Caenorhabditis elegans: one gene and its partner. Each later gene encodes a partner of the first gene's protein in a complex. Each region holds a gene or a part of one and is shown on either strand. Other genes may lie near its edges. The genes, in order: rpt-5 and rpn-13.

Evidence for each region.
Region 2: rpt-5 (region 1) and rpn-13 share a complex: the UniProt entries of both Caenorhabditis elegans proteins name them as parts of the 19S proteasome regulatory particle complex.

What each region holds. Positions count from the first base shown.
Region 1 is NC_003279.8:5,736,855-5,745,355, reverse strand, and holds rpt-5 (26S protease regulatory subunit 6A), read left to right. Parts: upstream 1-1,784; 5' UTR 1,785-1,801; coding exon 1,802-2,462; intron 2,463-2,554; coding exon 2,555-2,847; intron 2,848-2,911; coding exon 2,912-3,057; intron 3,058-3,112; coding exon 3,113-3,305; 3' UTR 3,306-3,488; downstream 3,489-8,501. Other genes in the region: rad-8 (Reticulon-4-interacting protein 1, mitochondrial), read right to left, coding at 1-37, 85-213, 260-398, 444-736, 790-978, 1,023-1,172; F56H1.10 (uncharacterized protein), read right to left, coding at 5,073-5,187, 5,244-5,357, 5,397-5,558, 5,693-5,853. UniProt on the Caenorhabditis elegans protein: Component of the 26S proteasome, a multiprotein complex involved in the ATP-dependent degradation of ubiquitinated proteins.
Region 2 is NC_003281.10:6,337,329-6,345,829, forward strand, and holds rpn-13 (Proteasomal ubiquitin receptor ADRM1 homolog), read right to left. Parts: upstream 4,601-8,501; 5' UTR 4,596-4,600; coding exon 3,717-4,595; intron 3,671-3,716; coding exon 3,505-3,670; intron 3,460-3,504; coding exon 3,364-3,459; intron 3,133-3,363; coding exon 3,053-3,132; 3' UTR 2,785-3,052; downstream 1-2,784. Other genes in the region: Very-long-chain 3-oxooacyl-coA reductase let-767, read right to left, coding at 1,270-1,602, 1,652-1,780, 1,825-2,174, 2,349-2,504, 2,582-2,627; C56G2.9 (DUF4604 domain-containing protein), read right to left, coding at 5,203-5,378, 5,428-5,620, 5,673-5,704, 5,753-5,843, 5,921-5,959. UniProt on the Caenorhabditis elegans protein: May function as a proteasomal ubiquitin receptor. May promote the deubiquitinating activity associated with the 26S proteasome.

The DNA of each region.
Region 1 (8,501 bases):
AGAAGGCGTATGAAAACCAACGACCTCGTAAGTGGCTCTGAAAAATATATTGTTATAGTTGCGGGTACATATTTCAAAAATTACTTGGAAAGATCTTTCAAAATGCTTCATCGCAGTCGTTACAAGACCTAACGGAACTCCATTTTTATCCATTTCTCTCATCAAAGGGGAGACAATTGATACGTGGACACAATTACGCCATACTCCCATAACCTGAAGTAGTTTTATACATTAATTTCCACTTCTCAATTATATTTACATTATCACTCCACTTTGCTAGCTGGGAATCGACAGTATCAAGAATAACTTCAAATGGTGCATGCTCAATCAATTCCTGAGTCGCCTGGTCTGATGTGTAGTCGACTGGAATTGCACCAAGTTGCTTCACAATATCGAAACTACAATTTTTATTTGAAAAATTGCAAAGATATAGATAATCTAACCTGCCCTTTGCACACGTTGCCACTATCTTTTCACATCCCCATGCTTTCAATAGCTGGATTGCCATACTTCCAACTCCTCCGGCTCCTCCATGAATCAAAACTCTTTGTTGTTTGGCATTTCGTTGTGAGACCCTGGCTATTGTAAAAGCTGAGTAGGCTGTCGATGCGACGTAAGGAAGTGCGGCAGCTGATACAAAGCTCAAATTGCTGGGCTTTTTAGAGCAATACTTCGAATCAGTGACAACAAACTCGGCATGTGTGCCTGGAAGAATTACAGGAACAACAGCCATAACCTGAAAACATACGATATTTAATCATGAATCGATGCATAATAGGATTTCGTTACCTCATCACCGGGAGCTAAATTGTGCACATCGCCACCAACAGATTCTACAACAGCTGTACAATCTCTTCCTGGAATTAGAGGGAATCTAGACGCGGCTGCATCACAGGACTCTATTTTTTTCCACGTCCCTAGGAATTCTCTACCGTATCCTTGAGACATGTCAACATCGATCGGATTAACAGACGCTGCCTACAAATATTTAAATTGCTTGAATCAAGAAATATTAATCTCACTTTAACTTTTAGAAGGACTTGTCCTGGTTTGTTTATGACTGGAAGCGGCACTTCTTTGAGCTCAACTCCAGATCCGTTTTCAGAGACCCATGCACGCATCGTTGATGATTTTGTTGAGAAAAATCTTCGTAGAATCATTTTTTCGATCATTTTGCTGAAAATTTCATGTGGAAATAACTTTTTTCTGATAAAAACAAATAAAACTGCACGAAGACTTCAAGTGTCGTAAAATTAAATGCCTTCTGTGTGGTTCACCGCGACGCTAAATTGCACAAATCATCCTTTTCAAAATTTCTCGTTCTTTTGGATTCTTTATCATTTACTGAAGGCTAAAAAGCTTATTATTGTTTTTTTTTAAGTTTATATTCAAAATTTTTTATCTTGAGAACTCATTAAAGATATTTTGAAGATAGTAACACAAATTTTAAACTTTTTTAAATAATATTTAGCTAGCCAAAACAGATTTTGTGGACGGAACGTAAACCTAATAGTAAGCTAAATACTGACGTAACCTTTGGGCCATCGTGAAATTATCAAGTCAAACTTTCTTTTATTCTAATCATTATTTCTCGTGATAAACACTTTCTCTCATTGTCACTCGCTCAATACACATTAGCGTTCGTTTAATTTTTTGAACTAAATATTCTCATTTACACCGCATTGTGTTACTGATTTTATTTTATTGTCCAGAACTTTGACTTTGCGTTATTCTCTGGAACTACTTTTCAGATCTCACCAGAAGCAATTACAACTAATTTTCAGGCCCCAGAAGCAGTACAATGTCGCAAACACCACCGCCAAAAGACGGAAAAAACCCAGAGGCAATGGAGGTGGAGGATGCTATTGATGAGGAGATTCTGAAAATGTCGACGGAAGATCTCAAAAGCCGTACCCACTTGTTGGACAACGAGATTCGTATTATGAGAAGTGAAGTTCAACGTATCAATCATTCTGCAACCACTCTCAAAGAACGGATCAAGGAGAATACTGAACGTATCAAAGTTAACAAAACTCTTCCGTACTTGGTGTCCAACGTTGTCGAACTTCTTGATCTCGAGGATAATACAGAAGAAGAAGGCGCAAATGTTGATCTCGATGCCCAAAAAACCAAGTGCGCAGTCATTAAGACTTCCACTCGTGCCACATATTTCTTACCAGTTGTTGGACTTGTCGATCCAGATGAGTTGAAGCCAGGAGATCTCGTTGGTGTCAATAAGGATTCATATTTGATTCTTGAAAAATTACCAGCAGAATATGATTCTCGTGTGAAGGCTATGGAAGTTGACGAACGGCCAACTGAACAATATTCCGATATCGGAGGATGTGACAAGCAAATTCAGGAGCTGATTGAAGCTGTTGTGCTTCCAATGACTCACAAGGATCGATTTGTTAATTTGGGTATTCATCCTCCAAAGGGTGTGCTCATGTATGGACCACCAGGTAAGATTACGAAAAATTTTTGATAAAGTAGTACTCCTAGAAAATAACCATTTTAATTACAACAGCTCAAGTGTAAATTATTCGTTTTTCAGGAACTGGTAAAACGATGATGGCCCGTGCGGTTGCTGCCCAAACTAAATCAACATTCTTGAAGCTCGCAGGCCCACAACTTGTTCAGATGTTCATTGGAGATGGAGCCAAGCTTGTTCGTGATGCTTTTGCTCTTGCTAAGGAAAAGGCTCCAGCTATTATTTTCATTGATGAGTTGGATGCCATTGGTACGAAGCGATTCGATTCAGAGAAAGCTGGAGATCGTGAAGTGCAACGTACCATGTTGGAACTTCTTAATCAACTTGATGGCTTCCAACCAAATGATGATATCAAGGTAAGCTGAGTTCCATTTTAAGTTATATTTTTAAGACGGTATAAGCTGTAAATATGAATTTAAGGTCATTGCTGCAACGAACCGTATCGATGTGCTCGATCCCGCTCTTCTTCGTTCTGGTCGTCTCGATCGTAAAATTGAGCTTCCCCATCCGAACGAGGATGCCCGTGCCAGAATCATGCAGATTCATTCCAGGAAGATGAATGTCAAGTATGTTTTCGCGACAGTTTTATTTGTAAAATTTAGTCTAATTAATTTTTTTCAGCAAGGATGTAAACTTTGAAGAACTGGCCCGCTGTACCGATGACTTCAACGGAGCACAATGCAAAGCGGTTTGTGTTGAAGCTGGAATGATTGCTCTTCGACGAGATGCTACTGAGATTCTTCATGAAGACTTTATGGATGCTATTCTGGAGGTCCAGGCAAAGAAAAAGGCGTCCCTCAATTACTACGCTTAATCCTTCACTCCCGGTTGTCACTGTGTTCCCTTTGAATCGCTCCCGAATTTTCTCACGCGATTTTTTCTTACTTTCATCTTTCGTATTCTATTCCCACCCCTCTCCTGTTTTTATTGATTCATCCTCGAAGTGCGTGGATTCCTAATTTATTTCCGATCAATGTGCATAAATGGTCACTCTTCGAAATGTGTTTCTTTCACTGTTTCAACATTCTGCGTGCTCTTCAAACATTTAGCGAGACATCTCAAATTGTAACTTGACCGATCCAGAAGTCAGTACTGACGTCAGTGAAACGTATGCAGAGAAAAGCTAAAGTGCAATCGCGCCCCAGTGCCAAATGGAAACGCTCCGCCTCTTTCATTTGGGTCTCGTTAGATAGAAAGTATTTTCTTTTTTGAAAATATTTATCAATTGAAATATCTTTACAATTACTGTTATCAATTTCATTATTGAATAATGCGAAGTGTATCAGATAATTATTTAGTAGTTGCACATGAAATTGGGGATCCTGTAAGCATCGAATCTTCGGAACCAACACCTCTTTTGAACCACTCTCCATCGATGCAGAAAAGTTCGGAAAGTATAAAGGGATTTTTCTCGAGCTGTAAATATTTGTATTTCATTGATTATCTTTCTGAAATAATTTTAATCTTACAGGTGGTGTATCTGTTACCAATTCTTTTGTCTTATGACTATATGCTACTACTTTTGATTGCGGAGGACACAAAGCAGAAATTGCATTACAATCTGGATAAGTGATCTCAGGTCGATTGAAAACAAAATGAGAATAATTATTGTAGACACGTTCATTTGTCTTTTTGAGCCATTCACTGTCAAAAGTTGGCCGTAAGATGCACCCACATCCTGAAAATTCGAATTATTGATTATTCAATCTTTTAAAACATTATTGTGATTTTTTATCGTATTTTCACAAGATTTTGGCAAGCTTTCTATAAGGCGCACGGATTTATTCTGATGGGTGGTAACGCGCCAAAAGGTTTATGGTAGTTATTTTCAAGCAATTTTGCGGCGGTTTTCTATTCACGATAACTAAAACATAAATGAATAAATACATTAAAAAAATTACAGGTTGTTCTAAATTTGTTGATATCTTAATTTTTTTTTAAACTTGCCTATCTAAAAAATTATTTAAAAACTCAAACGCATGTTCAAAACTGAAAGATTTTTGAAGGGGGTTCTCAAAACGTATAGGAATTCATAATATTTTGAAATAGATATTTTAATAGATTAAAAGGCAAAAATCACGAAGAAAAAGAGTATATTAAAATTCAAATCTTGTGGTGTTTCCAGCCGAGAAAGTATTTATATTTCAGATAATAAAGTATGGGACACCTGAGAGTCATTCAAAGCTGGGAGAGAAAAAAAACTGAATGGCTAATAAAAAAGTGGAAACAAATTTTCTGCCTAGATAGTCCTTTAAAAAAATTATGTGCTTGATTGAAGCTCCTGAAATATTTGTAGTAGAATTCGTAAAATATAATTCTGCTCAAAATACCAGGCTGAAATTCAGAAGTATTGCAAGGGAAAAACGAAACAAATTAAGAAAGAATATAAATTCCAAGATTTGAAAACATCTATCTTCAAATTAAGTTTCCACTAAATTGAGAACTGCAAGACCAATAGTCCCAATCAGATTAAGTGTACTGAGTTAAACTGGTTTGAGTTCCCATTAACAGTACTACTCTATATTCAAAGAAATTTTTCTGCACTGAAATAAAAAAAAAACAAAACTATTTCAAACAAAATTCATTGATCATATCTTCCATTTAACATTTGACCATTCCATAGTTCGCTACCTTCCCAACGTGGACTGCATGCTCTCATTCTTCCTTGATCTTTCAGCTTATCAGTAATGAATATCCTATAAATTATATATTTTTTTGTCAATTGACCCTATTGAAATTTTAAAATGCTCACTCATTTTTAGAAATCGTCGTATTGTAATAGAGAGAAGTTTCAAAACATCGAATTTTCCTATTGGAACTACAATCGTGAGAGATTTGCACGAACATTGTCAAATTTTCCTGTAAACTTGAAAGTCATGCATAGTTTTTTAAAATTAAAACTAACTGGTTTCTCAATACTTTCCGAAATTTAATCGGTGGTATGCCAACTCGAACGCGATGCTTTTCGCCTTCCGGATAAAAATAATCCTTATTTTCAAGTTCTCTTGAAAAATGAATTAAGTCAGTGATAATACATCGTGAGTGATTTCTGAGAAGTTGTTCGTACCTAAATATTTGTTTTAAGATTCACTGTTACTTGTGGATTTAGTTCTCTTCAAAAAATCATCTGGAATACTACGCTGATTGGTCCTACTAATTTTTGGAAATAAAAGCCATAGAAATATTTTACAATAAACTCACATAGGCTCATCTTCAAAAACTTCGATGAAAACGCAGACACGTGGTATATCACTACCACCAAAATCACATTCCATATCAATTTTAATCGATAATTCATTGCAATACATGGCCAAGATGGTGATTAGAATAATGATTCCATTGAGATATTGAGAAGAATTCATAATTGTCAAACGACAAAGTAAAACGAGAAATGGAAAATGTTTAGCGAAATGATATTTGGAAATTGAAAAAGTGGAAATTTTAATTTTGATAAATTATTTATTGAACTTAATTTGTTTTAATAGATTGTGAAAAACAGAAAGAATTGGAGAATAGAGCAAGTGCCCAGTATTGATTAAAGTATGCAATTATATTGATCACGACGTCAAAGCTTTCATACTTTCAGCCTCTTCACTTGACAAACTCGAATGTGCCTAAACCATGTTGTCTTCAGACTGAAAAGTAAATGACTAAAATTTCAACAAAAATGGCAACAATGCAAAAACCTACCTTATCATATACTGATGGTGTCTCCAATTTTTTAGACGGCTTGAGACTTTTGCTTCGTTTTTGATGCTTTTTATTTTTTGCCGAATGACGCTGTTTGCCAGGAGGAACACCTGAAACTTATGAAGTTTGTTATGCAAATAAAGAAGCTACAATGTTTTTTGAGCATCAAATTTTCACGAATATAATATTGGGCACAAAAATCGGACTTACTTTCAAGTGTCATACCAATTTCCAAGCATTGCTGATATCTGCATGCTTCACACTTTTTCCATTCCTTCACATCCTTTCGACAAAATCCTTTACGCTGACATTTCAGTTCTTTTTCATTTCTAACAACATCAAAGAAAGCCTCCGTACAACTATTGCATATTCTAAATATTTTTCTAAATTGCAGGTTAACACATCAATTAAATTATAGAGTGTAGAGTTTGAAGACACTTATTGGGCAAAAAGTGGGATTTTCATTTTGGAGAAAATTAAAACAGGAATAGGAGCTAAATTTGGGAAATAACGTTTTCGTAGGTAGATTTAATTTGACTGTTATTCCGACAGATTAGAACATTTAAAGTATAATGATGTGAAATTCCCACGAACGCAATTCCGCCAAAAATCATTTCACAGACTATATATTTTTAAAAATCTTACCTCATAGTTTTCTTAAACGCATGTCCACGTCCAACGTTCAATACAATATCCCAAGATTGATGTCAGCAAAATAAAGACCACGATTGCTGCTGCACCACCAACATAAGCCCAATCAATTGATTCTTCTTTCGATTCCAAAAATCTCAAGAACTCTTCTTGCAAGTCTACCATATCCGATGGAGTTTTCACGAAATTAGTATAAACAAGATCCCAGTTGATTCCAAATAATCTTTCAAGTACTCCTAATGATGTTTCCATGTCTTTCATGGGAACTTCTAGGTATCTCAAAGATTCTCTCATTTTTCTAAAATCAAATTGCATTGAAAATGGAATATTTGAGACTTCTTTGTAAATTGATCCAATTTGTGAAAGGTTTTTCTCAGTTCTGACAGATATCATAAAATCATCCAGTTTCATTTTATTACTTCTAAATTTCTCCAGGCTTTTCTTCAACTCCGGATATTTGCTCCAAGTCTCTTCAATCTCTTGTTTAATTTTCAGATGAGTTATATTCTTGATAGCTCCTAGAACAGCTTCACCGTTATTGATCACAGTTTCCAAGTGTTCACTAATATTTGAAATCTTACTAATAGTTTCCAGAGAATATGCAGCAAATGCAAAGTTTAGCAGTTTTTCTGGAGTTCCTTCGAATTTCTTAGACATTGGAAATGATACATGTTTTCTATCAGATGTAATCAGTAAGTTCCTCAAACCTGCTCGGAGCCGTGGGACATGCTCAAGAATCTGTCGTAGGCTAGCAATGTGAATATCAGATTCCAAACGGGAAACACGTTTTTGAACCAGACTAATATCATTAATATCATCAAGTTTAAAAAGTGAATCACATGATTTTTCGTAGAGATTTGTGTTGTGAATCCATGATATAACTTTGCTCTCTTTCTCTCCGGCGTTGGCTAAATCAGCAAACAATTGAGTATCTTTTTGAACCAATAATTCATAGAAATCGGTTAAATTTTGGAACAATTCTCTCGTTTGGGGGAGATAAGCAAACGTTTGCTGGTCCATCCAGGTAGATCCCGGGTTTGTTGAAATAGATTCAGCGTATGTTAACATGTTTCTTTTTGCCTCATAGACATCATATGGAAAACTTTCTAAAATCTTCATAACCTTTCGAGTCGGATTGGGTATTTTTTCAATAGTTGACGATAAACTCTGAATTTCAGCAAAAGAGTACGGCATTTCAAGTGAAGAAATATTCAAACAATCAATGTATTTTATTGTGTTCAATTCACTCAAGAATGTTCGAAAAGTCTTGATTCTACTGATAATGTCAAGAACATTTTCTAGACTGTCAGATACTCCTCGATCTTTGAACACACTCAAGTCTAATCTTGCATCGTGCAATAATTCCTTGAAACGATTCGTTTGTAACTCAATCTCTTGAGTTTCATCATTCAAAACAGTCTTTATCCATTCATCAATCCAGAAGTCTGAAGAATTTTGTTTTGAAATAAAAAGAGGTGCAATCAGAATAGTAGAAGAAGCCTGCTCATTGAATTCTTGAAAGATTGCTTGAATTTCTCGTAGAATCTTTTCGATTCCAGTCAACTGAGATATGTTGTAAAATGATTGAAGTTCCGGCGATAAGTTTTGAAAATTCGAAAACAGAGTTGAGAGTCGGCGGAAGTCACTAGCTTGATCAAAAACTTTTTTG
Region 2 (8,501 bases), on another chromosome or scaffold:
ATGACCTATTTTTAATTTGACCTATTTAAAAATTAGGTCATGACCTACTTTTTAACGTGACCTACTTTTTGACGTGACCTACTTAAAAATCAGGTCATGGCCTACTTGTTGATGAAAAGTTTCAAAAAATTTCAGAAAAAATTCAAAACATTTCCGAAAAAATTTCCGAAAAAAATTCGAAAAATTTCCGAAAAATTTCAAAAAATTTCCGAAAAAAATTCAAAAAATTTCCCGAATTTTTTTCTGAATTTTATTTAAATTTTTCCGAAATTTTTTTGGGAAATTTTTTCGGAAATGTTTTGGAAATTATAGGTCATAACTACTTTTTAACGTGACTTACTTTTTACTTTACTGACCTGTTTTCACGTTAAAAGTCACGTTAAAAAGTAGGTCATGACCTATTTTTTAATTTGACCTATTTAAAAATTAGGTCATGACCTAATTTTTAATTTGACCTATTTAAAAATTAGGTCATGACCTAATTTTTAATTTGACCTATTTAAAAATTAGGTCATGACCTATTTTTAATTTGACCTATTTAAAAATTAGGTCATGACCTATTTTTTAATTTGACCTACTTATACAGTAGGTCATGACCTATTTTTTAATTTGACCTATTTAAAAATTAGGTCATGACCTATTTTTAATTTGACCTACTTAAAAAGTAGGTCATGACCTATTTTTTAATTTGGCCTACTTAAAAAGTATGTCATGACCTATTTTTTAATTTGGCCTATTTAAAAATTAGGTCATGACCTATTTTTAATTTCACCTATTTAAAAATTAGGTCATGACCTATTTTTTTATTTGACCTATTTAAAAATTTGGTCATGGCCTACTTGTTGATGAAAAGTTTCAAAAAATTTCAGAAAAAATTCAAAAAATTTCCGAAAAAATTTCCGAAAAAAATTCTAAAAATTTCCGAAAAATTTCAAAAAATTTCCGAAAAAAATTCTAAAAATTTCCGAAAAAAATTCAAAAAATTTCCGAGTTGTAGCCTACTGGGTTTAATATTTTGTTTTTTGTCTCTTCGGGGTTCTATTCATTTTACACCCATTTTAGAACATTATTCTCTGCTGTTTTTCCAGTGTTTTCTTAAACAATAAAAACCATTGCGTGAAGCATTGTTGGGTTACTGTAATGTTAGGGAAAGTTTTTTTCCTTCTTTCGAACAGTTTTAGTAAAAACAAAAACTTTATATAACATAAATAAATAGCAATAATTGAATGGATTGGACTGATTTAGATTCTACAAAATAACGTCGAGAAATTACTGAGATTTGGCTTCTCTTTCCTTCTTTCTGAGAGCAGCAGCACGAGTTCCGACACTCATATTTGTGAGGATCTTGTCGCGGATGAATGTTGGAATGAGATCCATGAGCTCGAGTTGAAGTTGATGCGTGATGTATCCGGTGGTGTCTGAGGTATTTCCAACAGTGTTCAGAGCTGATTTAGCGAACACGGCTCCGTCTGGAGTGAAGAATGAAGTTCTCTTGACTTTTGACATCTTTGTGGCGACCATCATTGGAGCAATAGTTTGGACAGTGATTCCTTGATGTTCATATTCTTTTCGGAGGATAGCGGTGAGCCAGGAGACATACTTCTGGAATAAAATTATAATTAAAAGACGGAAGATATTTTGAAATTCAAACCTTTGTAGCTGAATACACAGCCCAGAGAGCCATTTGATTTGCTCCAGCTGAAGATCCAACATTAACAATGACTCCAGCCTTTCGTGCGACCATTTGTGGAAGGATTCCGGCGGAGAGCTGAGTTAAGAACTTTTTCAGTAAGATCACAATAGTACAATTCTAATAAAACTCACCAATGTTGGTGGAAGAGTGTTGATGGTGGTGATGTTTGCAAGACGCTCGATTCCACCGTCAACTTTGTGAAGTACATCTGGATATTCGTAGCTCATTCCAACGTTGTTAATAAGAACTCCGATCTCTACTTGGTTCAAGGTGGCGAGAAGATCTTTGTAAGCAGAAGGAGCAGCGTTGGTGAAGTCGAAGGCGGCAGTGCGGACCTCAATGCTGGAATACTTCTCGAGAATCTCCTTCTTCGTCTCATCGAGTTTTGATTGGGTACGCGAAACGAGCAGGACATTGAATCCACGACGAGCCAATTCGAAGGCGTATGCTTTTCCGATTCCGTCAGTGGCTCCGGTGACAACTGAAAAATGTATTTTTTGTTTGAAATTCAAAACAATTATTTTATATTTACGCAACAATTTTTTCATTGCAATTTTATTATCAATTGAAAATGATAACAGTTCCAGAGAACCAAAAGTAGTTCTCTGAGTGCTATACGATAAGACATCACCAGAGTAAAAATATAGAAACGAACCAGCCCAAGAAGCTCCAGCTCTTTTCTTCAAATCGATTGGCGACAGAAGAACGTATGGGCCCAAAATATTCGAGAAAATCGTCAAAAGACGATAAGCCACAGCTGCAAGAGCCACGTATCCGGCTCCAACCAAGAAGCACTGGCAAGCCATGTTACCTGGAATTTACAGAATTTCAATGGAAATAACAGGCAGAAAAGATGCAAGGTGCATAAATTATACACTATTTATTTACCGTTTTCAAGATTATCTATATCATGTAAATTGTCAGACGACTCCATTATTTCTTGTAACTATTTATTTATGACGAAAACATATGAAAACTAAAAATTTTCATGAGGTCACGTTTTTACTTTTTTGAAACTCATGCACTCCAATAAACTTTGAAAAATATAAAACTAATCGCTACTATTACGAGTTCTTTCCGAAACTTTCAAATTGATGGTAAAAAGGGTTTATTTGCAGTACTTTACAATGAATAAATAAGTTCTCGAAATGGAATAAAAATGGGGACGTCTTGAAGGTCGAATAAATGAAAGAGAGCGAAGAGAAGTGGTCGATAAACATCGCTCTACTATCTTATCACACCATTTCTGGCATGATGAAGAAATACTAAAGGGACGAGTCGGAAAAAGAGGAACACGGAGAACACAGTTTAAGGGGGAATATGCACAAAAGTGATGAAGAATTTGTTTATTCAGAGAGTTTAATCGACATCCATATCTTCGTTGTCTGGACGGTTGCGCTTTGGCTCTGGTTCGCGAGTGGCGTCATCGTCCGAGTTTTCTGCAAACAATTAACAATGGTTATTGATGTTTTTATCAAAAGTACAGAGGTTTACGGTACTGTAAAAATTGTTTTTGAAATAGCAAATGGATAGGTGTTAAGTGTTAAGAGCAGCAAAATTTTACAAGGAATGGCGCAATGGTCATAGTGCGAAAGGAAACAAAAGGACAATCACAATTAGTGACATATTCAAAAATGAGTAAAAACTCAACAACTGAGAGTGCGCCGTACCTAGCCGAGACACCGTTGCCGCAATTGAGGGGGAAAAGAAGCCGAGATAAGCGGACGGCATCACAGCTCTCCGGCAGATCGGGTTATCAACCCGTGCTGAACGAACGTGAGACTATGTTTCAGAATTTCAAGTAAACTTACGAGTCTTGGCAGCATCTTCTCCTCCCTCAGCCTTTGTGAGATTAGCAGCAAAACCACGAATATCACCTTGATTCGCGGAGCCAACTGTGGCTTCATCCATTCCGAACTGTGCAACTACTGGCCCGAGTTGACCAGTTTGAAGTGCATGTCCAAGTGTATCAGCAGCCTGAAAATAGAGAACAGTTAAAATATAATATGCTTTAAAAACCAACTTGTCTGAATTGCGGAGTTCTGACTGTCTCAGAAAGCTCCCGGGCTGGATCATCAGAAGTTGGAAGATGCGGTGCGAGCTCTTCAGCGTGGTTACGAGCAACTTCAGCAACCGTTTCATTCGACAGAGCAGTTGCCAGAGAGACTGCCACCTCTTTCTTTTGTGAGCGTCCCAAGTTGTTGAAGATTTGTTGAATCGCCGGGTTATTCAAGGAAAGTGGATTTGAAGATCCTTCCTCAGCTGCATTCGTCGAAGGCTCGCAGTCTGCTTCTGACGATGCGTCCTCTCCTCGAGGCACGGAAGAAATTGGAAGAGTGTCAGAGTTTCCGCCTTGCAGAGATTGAATCAATGACATCAATTGCCCTTGATCGATGCCTCCAAGGGGAGCATTCATGTCTGAGCTAGAGATAAGTGATCCTCCAGCAGACTGACGATCAGTGTTTGCGTTAGAACCAGCCGATCGGGAAGCAGCTGGACGAGATGTCGGCGGCTTGTTCAGAGCGTCAGTGACCTTCTTCACAAGATCCTTGTCAACGTCTGGTGTTGAATCTTGAATCCAAAAAAGCTTCATATCTCCAGATTTGAACTTGAGCATATACACTTTGCCATCAGGGCATCCAGGAACAGCTTTGAATTCAGCGTCATCGGGGAAGATTATGAGGTCATCAACAACTGCGCCAGTTTCACGATCCTTCCAGCAAAAGTGGATGAGCATGTCGTTACTTTGCTTAATGAATACCAATCCCTTTTTGGGTTCAGCAACAACTTTTCTCATAGTATCTCCGGATCCAGCTTCAAGGCGAGAGCGTCCAGCTTTGAATTCGACAATATGGCCAGAAGAGGAAGCGACCGAGCGAGTATTACTGAACATAGCAGCCATCTCTGAAATAAATAAATGAATGTTTGATAAGGAAGCTGAAAATACCAAGATGAAAAAATAGAGAACAAACTTGCAAAATTACGAGGAATGAATATCACAAATAAACTGAAGTATTGATAATTGATTTGGAAAGTAACATGTCGGACAGAAACAAATTATTTCCCGTCAAAAAAAATTAAATTCAAATAACTAGTAAAAATATAATGTCTTTTTTAATATTTAAAAGATAACTCGAATTGAAGAAACAATTGTTAACAATATTGTTCCAAATTTGGCTAAAAAAGGATGACTTTTCTCGTGGTGCATTTGCTCGTGGTGTTCAGTGCTTGCGTACAAAACGCTGTTTCCGAATGCACACCGTACATGCGATATTTTGTCACGTTTTGTGTTCTATTTTTCTGTATTTAACTTGTCCTCCGCTCGTTTTAAGACGAATTTGCCTCATTATTTTTTTACCCAATATCTTAAAAATCAAACCACTTTATTCAATACATTATTTTGACAAAATCGGTCTCTGCAAAATTTGAGAATGCCAATTACCGATTAGTATTAGTATTTTTAAAACAAATTCACTGGGTATACACGATGAGTATTAAAACATATTAGTTTAGTTGTCAATATCATCCAGTTCAAAGCTGTTTTTGCTCTTTTTCTTCATCTCCTGAGCCTCCTTCATCTGAGAGAATGGCCCACTTGCCGAACCAAGTGAGGTCTTGCTTTCCTTTGATTTCAATGTTTTCGTTTTACCCGTCTTCATAGTGGTCGAGTCGGTTGTGATGTCAACTTAAAAAGTAATTTTAGATGTCTACGTGACTTTTTTTTAAAGATCTACCGATGTTGCGCATCATAGTTGCTGCCTCAAAGATCCCGAGACCAACATTTTGGGGACTTCCTAGTCCTGGAGATTCCAAACTATTGCTCCGCTGCGAGGAAATCGTTTCCTTCTCTTTCTCCACACCACCCTTTCCTACATTCAGCGACATCGTTGACGGTTTTTGGTCGCTTTTCTTGATAGATTTTCTTTTCTAAAATTTCAGATAATCAACTATTTTTTCAACAAATTAAAAATTGACTTACCGGGTTCTTGGTCTCCATCTCCGACATGTACTCTGATAGATTGATGATTTTATGAACACTTTTCCTTCGGTTTAACTCACTTTTGTCGTTTTTTGCCTGATCCGATAGTTTCAGATCACGAGTTTTTGCATCCAGGTCATCGAAGATCAATTCTCCATTCTTCTCGGTTCTCTGGAACATTTTTTTCTGATTGAAATTCGTAACCTTGTCGGGTAACGGTTCGTTTTTGAATACAGATAAGAACAAACCTTTGCTTCTTCCTGCTTCTTCTTATGCTCGCTGAACATGGTGTTAGCCGTTAGATGGTGTAGTTTGTAGCAAGTGGCTGAAGCAAAATTGAATAAACCTTTTCTCACGATATTGAGAAAAATAATTAAATCTGAATGCTCAGCTCTAATTTTTTTGTAAAAAATTTATTTGATCAGAATAAGAAGTGATACGCGACTACCAAGAATAGAAGAAAAAATGAAGGGGCGAACGAGTTATGTGTTGAACGCCACAAATTAAATGGAGAACACTAATTTGTACTCGAATTTTGCTTTCCCGTTGACTCATGACAGTGGGAAAATGGGTGGGAGTTTTTCATGAAACTACACGAGATTTATGATAGAAGTTTAAAAAATAATGTCCTACTCAGTCTGAAAAACATTCAGAAAATTTTGGTGATTTTTTTAAATAAGAAATTGTCCAACAAAAAAGACTTTACGAGGATGCAAATATACGAAAGAAGCCTGTCTCGTTTAAAATTACTATTGGGTTCTTTTCAATATTTATATTTTTAAGTCCTTCTAGGGTCATGGAATGTGGCTTTGAAGACTCTTGTCATTCTCTTCCTGGATTGATCGTGGGAAGACCCACAAGAATAAGCCCGTTCTCAAACTTGAATTAAGAAAATTTTAAAGCAGAATGGGATAACCCGAAAAAATTTCAGTAGCTCAAACTGAAAAGCTAATCAGTCCTCGTCGTCGTCAAGAAGTAGCCGTGTGAGTGATTGGTTCAGCTTCTTCGGATAAGCGCTTGTTTGCCGGCGTGGGAGTCAACGGAGCCATAATCAAATTCTCGGATTTTTATTGGAGCTCCTTCACCGACGATTTCCATGGTAACTGACTTATTGTGAGAAATAGGAAAGAAAATCTGGCAAAGGATATACATAAAAACAGAAAAAATGAGGAGAAGCAGCAGTCTGAAAATCGCACTTCTTGGTAGGGGTTAAGGTAATGTAGAGACGTGGGAGATTGAGGAAAAAGTAGATAAATTTTTTCAGGTTTTCATTGTTATATGTCCAATTAGAGTGTGCAATACTTCTTATTCTGGTGCAATATAATAACTGAATCTTAAAATATAATACCGTACTCCGCCTAAACCGACACAGGTAAATGAAAAAATCCTTCTAAATAAAAATCCGATTATTTCCATGTTCCTTTTCTTACTTCATGTTTTATTTTTTAAATTCAAACTTTAGGAATTTAATCAGAATATTTAAATTCATAACTTTAATTTTTAAAACAACTCGAAGTTCTTTTCGCGAGAGATATTATTCCGAGAATTCTCTAAAATAATCTTAATTTTAGAAATCGTATCAGTTTAAATAGTTTAGGTAAATACGATAAAATTGTATAGTTGTCCTCCAACATTCAGTTTTTAAAGAAACCGACAACAACATAATTCCCACCACGTGATCTTGTTTGCGTGAGAATTTTCTCTTAACACATTTATTGTCAACAATTTATTTTTTATTTTCAACGTGAATTTGATCATTCAAAAATCGATCGATAGACATTTTATTTCAATAATTTTCAAGCGTTCGTGTAAATAAGTAAACAGAGTCAGTTTTGCGTGATCATTTCCCATCCGATTCAAGAAAAAATTGTTTGCCAAAGTTCTCACGCTTGACTACGGTAAGTTTTTGTGTGCAATCTGCCGTCGAATCGAATGTTTACACCATCTGCCCTTTGTATGACTCTCTTCGTTTCCCACACTATTTCACTTTTCTCTGCTACTGACTCTCAGACAAACCCTGAATTTTAACTGATTTCCTCTTGTTTTTCCACTGTTTTTTTTTAAACTGAACATTTGAAAATTTCTAAAATTTTAATGTCGATTTGTCGCTTTTCTTTTGTTTCATTCATTTTTCTTTCGCTTCTCATGAAAACGGCAAGAATTTGGGAACAATAATTTTAGGATTCTTTCAATGAGCGATCATAGTTCAAACTTATCACGAGCTCAAGTTACCATGAAATCCTTAAAGTCCACGAAAATCGATTTCATATTGCTATATTCTTATATAGATTTTTGCATTCGAGAACATTTATGTAAACTGAAACTTTAAATGTTTTTCCTCCTCCGAAATTTGTTTCTTGTGAAGTTTTCGTTAGCTTTAGTTTTCATTTTCTCAACATTGTCAGATTTTGAAGTAATTTAAACGGAATTCCTTGATCAAAATCCTAAAAAACAGTTTTAAAACAAATTTAAATAGTTTTCTGTACAATAAAACTAAACGTTTGCACATTTGAAAAGTGAGTTTAATTTTTATCAGGATCTGTTCTCTAATCCGCTTTCTGTAATCTCAAGTTTCACAATAAGCTGCCAATTTTATAACTTTTTCATAGTAAATTGTTATTCAATATTCTTCCTAAAATTCATGGAGCTCCACACTCCTCATTAGCCTTCTGACCTTCGAACAAAGCGGCAAAAAATGGCAGGAGCGCCACCTGTAGGTTCGATTGACCTTGAATTCCACCCAGCGCACCACTTCTTCGTTCGGTTCTCCTTGTGTCGCGGCCACTCGTCGATCATCTTTTTTGCGATAATAGTGTCTCAATATATTAT